Linked DNA regions of Rattus norvegicus. Each later gene encodes a partner of the first gene's protein in a complex. Links are inferred from orthologs where the notes say so. Each region holds a gene or a part of one and is shown on either strand. Other genes may lie near its edges.

Region 1 (4,449 bases):
GAACACCCTGTCCGGCCATGCCCCTGTCTCCTGTGAACGCTCACCGTGGGTACCAGGAGTCCCTGCTGCATGATGTCCCGGATCTGCCGGCCCCTCTGGGTGCTTCTCTGAGCCTCCTCCCGCAGCAGCTGGCCCAGCTCCACGTGGTAGAAGCCGTATTTCATAGCCATGTTTCTGCACTGGGTCCCTTTCCCGCAGCCAGGCCCCCCCACCACAAAGATGATCAGAGGATACCTCAGGATGTCTATGGTGTTCAGGGAAGAAAGTGGGTACTAGTACGAGTCTATAAGAGATCCTGGCCTCACACTGAAGGCTCCCTCTGTTGAGCAGGCCACCGGCCTTTTGCACAGACCTCCATGAAGTGCCTTACTGACTCCATCAACCCATTTTACAGATAATGAAAGAGGAAGGCCCTCAAACCCACCCAATAGCACCCTGCTCCACCCACCATGCGGTCCTTTCTATCCTGCCTGCTTGTGCCTCTAGTCACACAACCCTTTCCTCTCCTTCACAGTCATGGTTCTTTGTTCTTTGTCCTTTTTGACTCCCTTTAGTCTTCCTAACCAGCCTTTGTAACTCACGGTGCGCTCCCCGAAAGTGAAGAAATGAATGTCTCCGCTACTAGATACATCAGTGGAGTCAGTTGTTTATGGTTCTGTAAAGACTAACATGGAATCACCATATCTCATCCTTCTCAGGTTCAATGTCTGTACCACCCTTGACCCTCTGAGGGTCCCAACTCCTATGAGTCCCACAGGCTCCCTTTTTCTGATTCCTCCCCCGAGAATTGTACTTTCCATCTCTGACACTGGCTCCTCTACTCAAGTTATATTCCAAAGGCATCAACCAATGGTGGGGTGGGAGCATGTGCAGATGCGTTCCTGTCGTGCAAGGGTTGGTGTGCACAATCAGGTGGTGGGATACCTGCCCACCGCCCCCTTCCGTTGCCTCATGTAGACCAACTACCCCATGTTGTTACCCTTCTCCTGGGGCCGTAAAGCTCTGCCCAGCTGGGGCAGCGTGGACTCGCACAGACCCATCCCGCCCGCAATGCTGGGGTACGCCGGGGCCGGGTCTCTGCCCTGCAACGACTCCTCGGCTCCGCTTTACGTCACAAGGGACTCATTTTGCAAGATCCTCGGGATCCCCTGACTCCAGGACACAAAAGAAAACGGAATCTCAGACCCACCCCAGAAGAGCCCCGGAGGCCATTCCACAGAGCGAGCCTCGGTTGCCATGGCAACGCGGCCTCCGCTCCCGCTTCTTGGACATTTACGCTTGCGCGAGAGTACCGAGGACGCGAACACCAGAAGACTCCATTCCCACCCTACCCAAGATGCTCCACGTTGCCCGCGTCTTGACGTCACGAAGTGACGTATTCTCACGTGATTATAAGTTATCCGTGATGTAAAAGAGAACACTGGGAGAAAGCAGCTTTATTTCGCTCAGAAGCTGGAGAAGACACAGACTAGGTACAGTGGTAGCTCTCGTCTCCGTGTGGCAGTTCTACTTCCGGGTCAGGCTGTGGCGCATGCGCAGCGTTCTAAGTCTCTTTTTTTTCTCGTCTTCCAGCATTCTAGGAGACTTAAGGGTTTGGAAATCCAAAGCACAGGATCACACTAACGTGACAACCAGGAAAGGTGCTTTCCCTGGGTCCGAGGGACACAACCAAGACCATCCAGGTCTGGCCGACCCGGAGCAGCTTGAGCAACGGCCATGGCGGCTCTAGTAAGTATGAATGAGGTGGGGATGGAGGTGTCGCAAAACAGACCCCGCGCCCTCTTCTCGCCTTACAGACTCCTGTTCTTTTGCAGGGCTCCAGCAGCCAGAATGTCACTGAGTACGTCGTCCGAGTCCCCAAGTAAGTCCCCGTCCATCCACACTTTAGAACCTCGGCCCTGTGTTCCCCTGCCACGCTGGCCCTACTGCCGCGTCCAAGACATAGTAATATGTCTTGGTAAATCTTGGTAGTTAATGTTAGGGTCTGTGACTCTGTCCTGTTTCAGACTGGTCAGGCCAGACATGGTGGCTGCCTTTAATCTCAGCACTTGGGAGGCAGAAACAAGAGAATTTCTTTGAGTTCGCGGTCAGCCAGGTCTATAGAGGGAGTTCCAGACCAGCCAGGGCTACATATCGTGAGAGCCTGTCTCAAAATAAAACAAAATTCCAAACTGGTCACAAGTAGTACACATCCTGCTTTCTGTGCCAAGTGCCATGGCCCTCAACTTCTAATTTTATCTTAGGTGGGCCTGTGGTAGGCAAGCACTGTACCACTGATCTACACCTAGTCCCCTTTTATTTTTTTGTTTATTTTGAAGACACAGTTTTACTGTGTAGTCTAGCCGGTTTGACCAGGCTGACTTTGAAACCCACTAAGACCCATTCACCTCCAGCCCTTGCCTGCCTGCCTTCCTCTCTACATAAAGGTTCTCTACACCTTTGGTTCATTTTTTTCTTTTTTCTTTTTTTTTTTTAAAGATTTATTTATTTATTATATATAAGTACACTGTAGCTGTTCAGACACACCAGAAGAGGGCATCAGATCTCATTACAGATGGTTGTGAGCTACCATGTGGTTGCTGGGATTTGAACTCAGGACCTCTGGAAGAGCAGTCAGTGCTCTTAACCACTGAGCCATCTCTCCAGCCCCCGGTTCATTTTTTTCTTAAGGATTTAGTGTTATCTCTGTGTATGCCTGTGTGTATATAGATGTGTGTTGTGAGAGTGCCTGGTGCCTATGGATCTTTATATGGGGTTGGATGAGATGGAGTCTTTAAAAAAAACAAAACAAAAACAAAATTAAAAAATCCCTGAGAAACTGGAGCAGTGGTTTTCAACCTGTGGGTCGCCTAAGTCCATCAGAAAACACAGATATTTACATTATGAATCATGATAGTAGCAAGCTTACAGTTATGAACTAACAAAAATAATTTTATGGTTGGGTCACTACAGCATGAGGGGGTCATAGGGGTATTAGGGGTCATAGCTTTAGGAAGGTTGAGGACCATTGTTCCCGAGTCTTTTTTGAGTTCCCAGAATTACCTACAACCAAGGGTGTAAATCGTAGATTTGTTGAATGGCTAATCGATGGATTGAATAGTTTCTTGCCCATTCCAGGAACACAGCCAAAAGATACAACATAATGGCTTTTAATGCAGCTGATAAAGTCAACTTTGCTACCTGGAACCAGGTAAGTGTATGCCTCTGGGTGTCTGGGGCAGAGACCTAACCCTGGGCTGGTGACTTTACTGAAACAGTAGTGCCCACACCTGTAGCCCCAGCAGACCTGTGATTCCAGCTATTTGGTGGCTGAGGTAGAAAGACTGAGTGTTTTAGACCAGCCTATACTAAATAAATCCTATCTCAAAGAGAAGAAGCTAGCCTGAGGGTACGGTTCAATTGATGGAGCACTCATCTGGCATATAGGAGGCCAGGGGGACCACCAGCGCCATGTATAATGGGCATGTTGGCTGGCACACGCCTGTTATCCAGCATGGGAAAGGGGATAGGATCTCAAATTGAAGACCATCCTTGGCTACATAGTGAGCTTGAGTGAAGCCCCGGATATATATATATATATATAGACCATGTCTATATGTATACTATAAAGTAAAGTAACGGGTAACAAGATGACAAGCAGGCCATGTCATGTACAAAAACAAATGCATTTTATAAGTTTGGAGTGTTTGTTTTTAAGATAAAGCCAGCAGGCCATAGTGACACATACCTTTAATGCCAGTTCTTGGCAGCAGAGTCAGTGGATCTCTGACTTTGAGGCCAGCCTGGTCTGCACAGTGGGCTTCAGAGCAGACTGCCTATACAGTGAGACCCTGTCTCGAAAGGATAAAACCATACCACAAGATGGGTACAGCCAGGGATACTAGCATCCCAGCACCAGGGAGGTGGAAGCAGGAGGATCATAAGTTTGAACAGCCTGAGCTACATAACAGGATTCTCTAGATAATACTAAGAGGAAAAAAGTGTTAAAGGCCAAAGTTTTAAACTACCCAGTATTCTGGGTGTCATGTTAAAATGTTACTATTTCCATATTGTCTGGGTTGCTCCTGAGCCTTCCTCGGGTGGTCTCCGTGATCTCATGGACCAGTCTGTTTTACTGTTGTAAGTCCCACATTCCTCATGACCAGAGTCGTGTGTGTGTGCATATGTGCATGTGGGCATGCTGTGCATGTCAAGGCTAGAGTGGACATCAGCTGTCTTCCATAGTCACTCTACACCTTATTATTAAAATGACATCTGTTGGGCCACAGGTGTGTGAGGGATGCAGAGTTGAGATCAGAGAAGAGTTTGCAGGAGTCGGTTCTCACTTTATGCTGTGTGGGTCCTAGGGCTTGAACTCAAGCCTCAGTCCTTTTGCAGGCTATACTTTATGCAGACTATATAGCAAGTACTATCTTTCCCAGCCTTTTTACATACAGTTTTGAGTCAGGG
Region 2 (4,286 bases), on another chromosome or scaffold:
CATGGCCCTGGGTTAGGTCCTCAGCTCCAGGGGAAAAAAAAGTTCAGGGCAAGCTTACTCTACAAAGCAAATCTCAGGTCATCCATGGTCACATAATAAAACCGTCCCTCAAATAGAAAAGAAAGTAAGCCCAGTGCGTGCCCACATAAGTAATCTTTTTGCTTGTTGTCTTTTTGTTTTGTTTAACAAGACACTTTCATTTTTTTTTTCCGGAGCTGGGGACCGAACCCAGGGCCTTGCACTTGCTAGGCAAGCGCTCTACCGCTGAGCTAAATCCCCAACCCCGACACCTTCATTTTTAATGTATCCCTGGCTGTTCTGGAACTCATGCTGTAGACCAGGTTGGCCTTGAACTTGAAGACCCACCTGCCTTTTGTTCCTGAATATTGGGATTTAAGGCGTGTGCCACACTTCCAAGTGACTTCTTCTTAATTAGGTGTACTCAATGATGTCTGTTATCTGTATGTGAGTACAAGCCCACAAGTGCTGGTACCTCCTGAGGCAATGAGAAAGTTTCAGATCCCCTTCGAGCTGGAGTTGTGAGACCTCGGGTGCAGTGTTAGTAATTGAACTCAGGTCCTCTTCGAGAGCTTTATTTTTATTTTATGTGTAAAAACCTTTATTTTTATTTTATATGTATGAATGTTCTGGCTGTATCTATGCCTGTTCACCACAAGGGAGAAGTGTCCATGGAGGCCCCAGATGGCACTGGATCCCCTAGGATTGAAATATAGCTAGTTGAGTTACCATGTTTGTTCTAGGAATCAAACCTGGATCCTTCGGAGGAGCAACCATTGATTTTAACTGTTGAGCAATCTCCCCAACTACCTCATCTTTATTTTTATTTTACAAGCATCGGTGTTCTGCCTGCATTATGTCTGTGTACCACTAGCATGCAGTGCTGAATGAAGCCAGAAGAGGGTGTCAGTTCTCTCTGAACTGTAGTTACAGATAAGATTGTGAGCTATCCTGTGGGGGCTGGCAAGTGCTCTTAAGGACTGAGCTAATTCTTCAGCCCCTAAAATAAAATTTAAAAAACAATTTTTTTTTCTCTTTTTCGGAGCTGGGGACCGAACCCAGGGCCTTGCGGTTGCTAGGCAAGCGCTCTACCTCTGAGCCAAATCCCCAACCCCAAAAACAAATTTTTTTATAGGGTTTGTATACACAGTCTTGGTTATCCTGGAACTCACTTTGTAGATGTGGCTTAGCCTTGAATTTAGAGATCTGTCTGCCACGGCTGGGTTTAAAGGCATGTGGCGACAAGCCAGACCTCTTAACCTTTTTTTTTTTTTTTTTTTTTTTTTTTTAAGGTTTTTCGAGACCGGGTTTTTCTGTGTAATCCTGGCTGTGCTGATGAGCGCTGATGGGAAGGCCTGAGGGGCGGGGCTTCACGTTTCCCCGCCCATGGCGTTAAGACTCAAATCTGCGGAAGCGACTGCGGAGACTTGGTGGGACTTCTGCTAGTGCTTCCGGCGAGGTCCCTTCCTGGGGAGTTCTGGCCTCTGCGGTCCAAGCTTCTGCAGAAGATGTTTTATCATGTGAGCTGGACGCGGGGTAGCGGTGAGGGCAGGGACAGGAGGAGCCTGGAGGGCCGACGGGTCGCCTCCTGTTCTCAGTGTGGCTGGCGGAGTCTTCATCTTCCTTTCTCTGCAGATTTCCCTGGAGCACGAGATCCTACTGCACCCACGCTACTTTGGTCCCAACTTGCTCAACACGGTGAAGCAGAAGCTGTTCACCGAGGTGGAGGGGACCTGCACTGGGAAGTAAGTGTCTGATTCACAGTGTCGTCTGCTGAATGCAGGCACAATAACGCTACTCTGTAACCTCTACTTCACTCCTTCAGTCAGGGCTTGTTACTTACTCTGAGGAACTCTTTCACCACTCCAGGCATCCGAAGCAGCCAGTTTTTGCCTATTTTGGGCCTTCTAAAAGGTTGCTAAACCAAATTTTCTTCGCTTATGCGAGATCAGACCGTTATTATGCAAATGTTTTGGGTTTCGAGATGGCCTCACTATGTGGACCAAGCTGGCCTCTAATTCAGAGAACTGCCTGCCACTGAGTGCTGGGATTAAAGGTTTTCGTCACAATTTTCTGTCTGATTTGTGGTTTTCGAAAGACCTGTCTCACCACTGACCTGGCAAGTCCTGGTACTGAGAGAATAGGTGTATGTCAGCATATCTGTGCCTTCTTGGGCATTTACTGTACAATTGTGAGAGCACCATTTAATATTTCAGGTGCTAATCTGAGTTCTGTCTCTTCTTGGTCATCGAGCTGTTCGAGCAGAGGTTCCATCACACGCAGACTATTGCTGGTGGCTTTTTAGAGGCTCTTCACATACAGTAGCTGTCTTTTTTCATCTTTCCTGCAGATATGGCTTTGTGATTGCTGTCACTACCATCGACAATATTGGTGCTGGTGTGATCCAGCCGGGCCGAGGTTTTGTTCTTTATCCAGTGAAATACAAAGCTATTGTTTTCCGGCCCTTTAAAGGGGAAGTGGTGGATGCTGTGGTCACTCAGGTCAACAAGGTAAGAGTATTATTTATAGAAAGGTTATGGGGTTGGGGATTTGGCTCAGTGGTAGAGCGCTTGCCTAGGAAGTGCAAGGTCCTGGGTTCGGTCCTCAGCTCCGAAAAAAAAGAAGAAAAAAAAAAAAAAAAAAAAGAAAGGTTACGGGGTATTTCCTAAGGTGAGAGTTCAATTCCCAGTCCACTTATTAGTTGCCTTAAGCCTTTTGTGGTTGTCAAGATTTATTTTATTTTATCTTAGTTTTGGGTTTTCTTTTCTTTTTTTTTTTTTTTTTTTTAAGGTTTGTTTGTTTATTTTTATTTATATGAGTACACTGTTGTCTTCAGACACATCAGAAGAGGGCATCAGATCCCATTACAGATGATTATGAGCCACTATGTGATTGCTGAGAATTGAACTCATGATCATTGGAAGAGCAATCAGTGCTCTTAACCGCTGAGCCATCTCTCTAGCCCCTGATTTATTTATTATACACACTCCTCTGTAGCTCTCTTCAGACACACCAGAAGAGGGCATCAGATCTCATTACAGATGGTTGTGAGCCACCATGTGGTTGCTGGGAATTGAACTCAGGACCCATGGAAGAGCAGTCAGTGCTCTTAACCACTGAGCTATCTCTCTAGCCTCAGAAATTAAGTTTCTTAAAGGCTAAGGGGTCTATAGCTCAGTGGTTTAGAGCACCTACTGGTTCTATAAGACCTGGGTTTGACTCCCAGCACCCAGCCAATGGCTCACAATAATCTGTAACTCCTAATTCTGCAGGGTCCCAATACCCTCTCCTGGCTTCCATGGGCACTGCAGGTACATGGTGCACAGGCACATGTGAGGTCAGAATATTCTTACACATAAAAATAATGAAGAACAAAAATGTAAAGAAATGAAAGATTACACAGAGAGAAATTAAAACAAATGCTACAATTTAAACTGTTAAGAAACATGAATAATGTGCCTAGAAATCAGGTAAAGATGCTTCAGAGCGTTTGAAGCACGGTCATTTTCCTTCTAGGTTGGACTTTTCACAGAAATTGGGCCCATGTCCTGCTTCATCTCTCGACACGTGAGTCTGGGCGTGTGGGGTGAGGCCGAGGAGGAGAAACCAGCCCCTGACTCTCATCCTTTGATGCAGCTATTTGAAATGCTAACCTTTGTGTCAATTTCCTTCTAGTCCATCCCTTCAGAGATGGAGTTTGATCCAAATTCGAACCCCCCTTGTTACAAGACCATGGATGAGGTGAGCGAATGAGGAGGAGTTGGTGAGAGGGATGAGGACCAGGCCTGAGTCTGCTTGATGACCCTGCTCTCTCCTTTCCACAGGACATTGTAATTCAGCAGGACGATGAGATACGCTTGAAGATTGTAGGGACACGTGTAGACAAGAATGACATTGTGAGTCTCTTGCTTGACTGGCCTGCCTTAGCCTCCTGGGTAGTAGGATTATAAATAATCCAAAGTCATCATTCACAGCTGACAGCTGTGGGTTTCTCGTTTCTTTTGTAGAACATATTTATGTGGATGTGTGGGCATACACACTCGCCACAGTGTGACATTTAGACCGCCTTCAGGTCATCGCATGCTGCTGTGGATTTTGGGGGTGGAGGTCAGGTCATCAGGGTTGGAGCAAGCTCTTTCCCCATCTGCGCTGTTGACCTCTTGCCATCCACAGTTGTTGGGGGCTCTGTGCTCTGTGTCCATGAGCAGGGAATAGATGACAGAAGGCTCGGAATGGGGTGGGGCCCCACCTCACCATCCTTTCTCCCT

Evidence for each region.
Region 2: Gtf2f1 (region 1) and Polr2g share a complex: the UniProt entries of both Homo sapiens proteins name them as parts of the TBP-based Pol II pre-initiation complex. The link is inferred for Rattus norvegicus from reciprocal best matches to the Homo sapiens genes GTF2F1 and POLR2G.

The regions. Positions count from the first base shown.
Region 1 is NC_086027.1:1,937,339-1,941,787, reverse strand, and holds the start of Gtf2f1 (general transcription factor IIF subunit 1), read left to right. Parts: upstream 1-1,590; 5' UTR 1,591-1,716; coding exon 1,717-1,728; intron 1,729-1,814; coding exon 1,815-1,861; intron 1,862-3,117; coding exon 3,118-3,190; intron 3,191-4,449. UniProt on the Homo sapiens protein: TFIIF is a general transcription initiation factor that binds to RNA polymerase II and helps to recruit it to the initiation complex in collaboration with TFIIB. It promotes transcription elongation.
Region 2 is NC_086019.1:215,118,823-215,123,108, reverse strand, and holds the start of Polr2g (DNA-directed RNA polymerase II subunit RPB7), read left to right. Parts: upstream 1-1,452; 5' UTR 1,453-1,526; coding exon 1,527-1,538; intron 1,539-1,650; exon of another isoform or gene 1,651-1,653; coding exon 1,654-1,763; exon of another isoform or gene 1,764-2,368; coding exon 2,369-2,528; exon of another isoform or gene 2,529-3,534; coding exon 3,535-3,585; exon of another isoform or gene 3,586-3,693; coding exon 3,694-3,759; exon of another isoform or gene 3,760-3,842; coding exon 3,843-3,914; exon of another isoform or gene 3,915-4,286. UniProt on the Homo sapiens protein: Core component of RNA polymerase II (Pol II), a DNA-dependent RNA polymerase which synthesizes mRNA precursors and many functional non-coding RNAs using the four ribonucleoside triphosphates as substrates.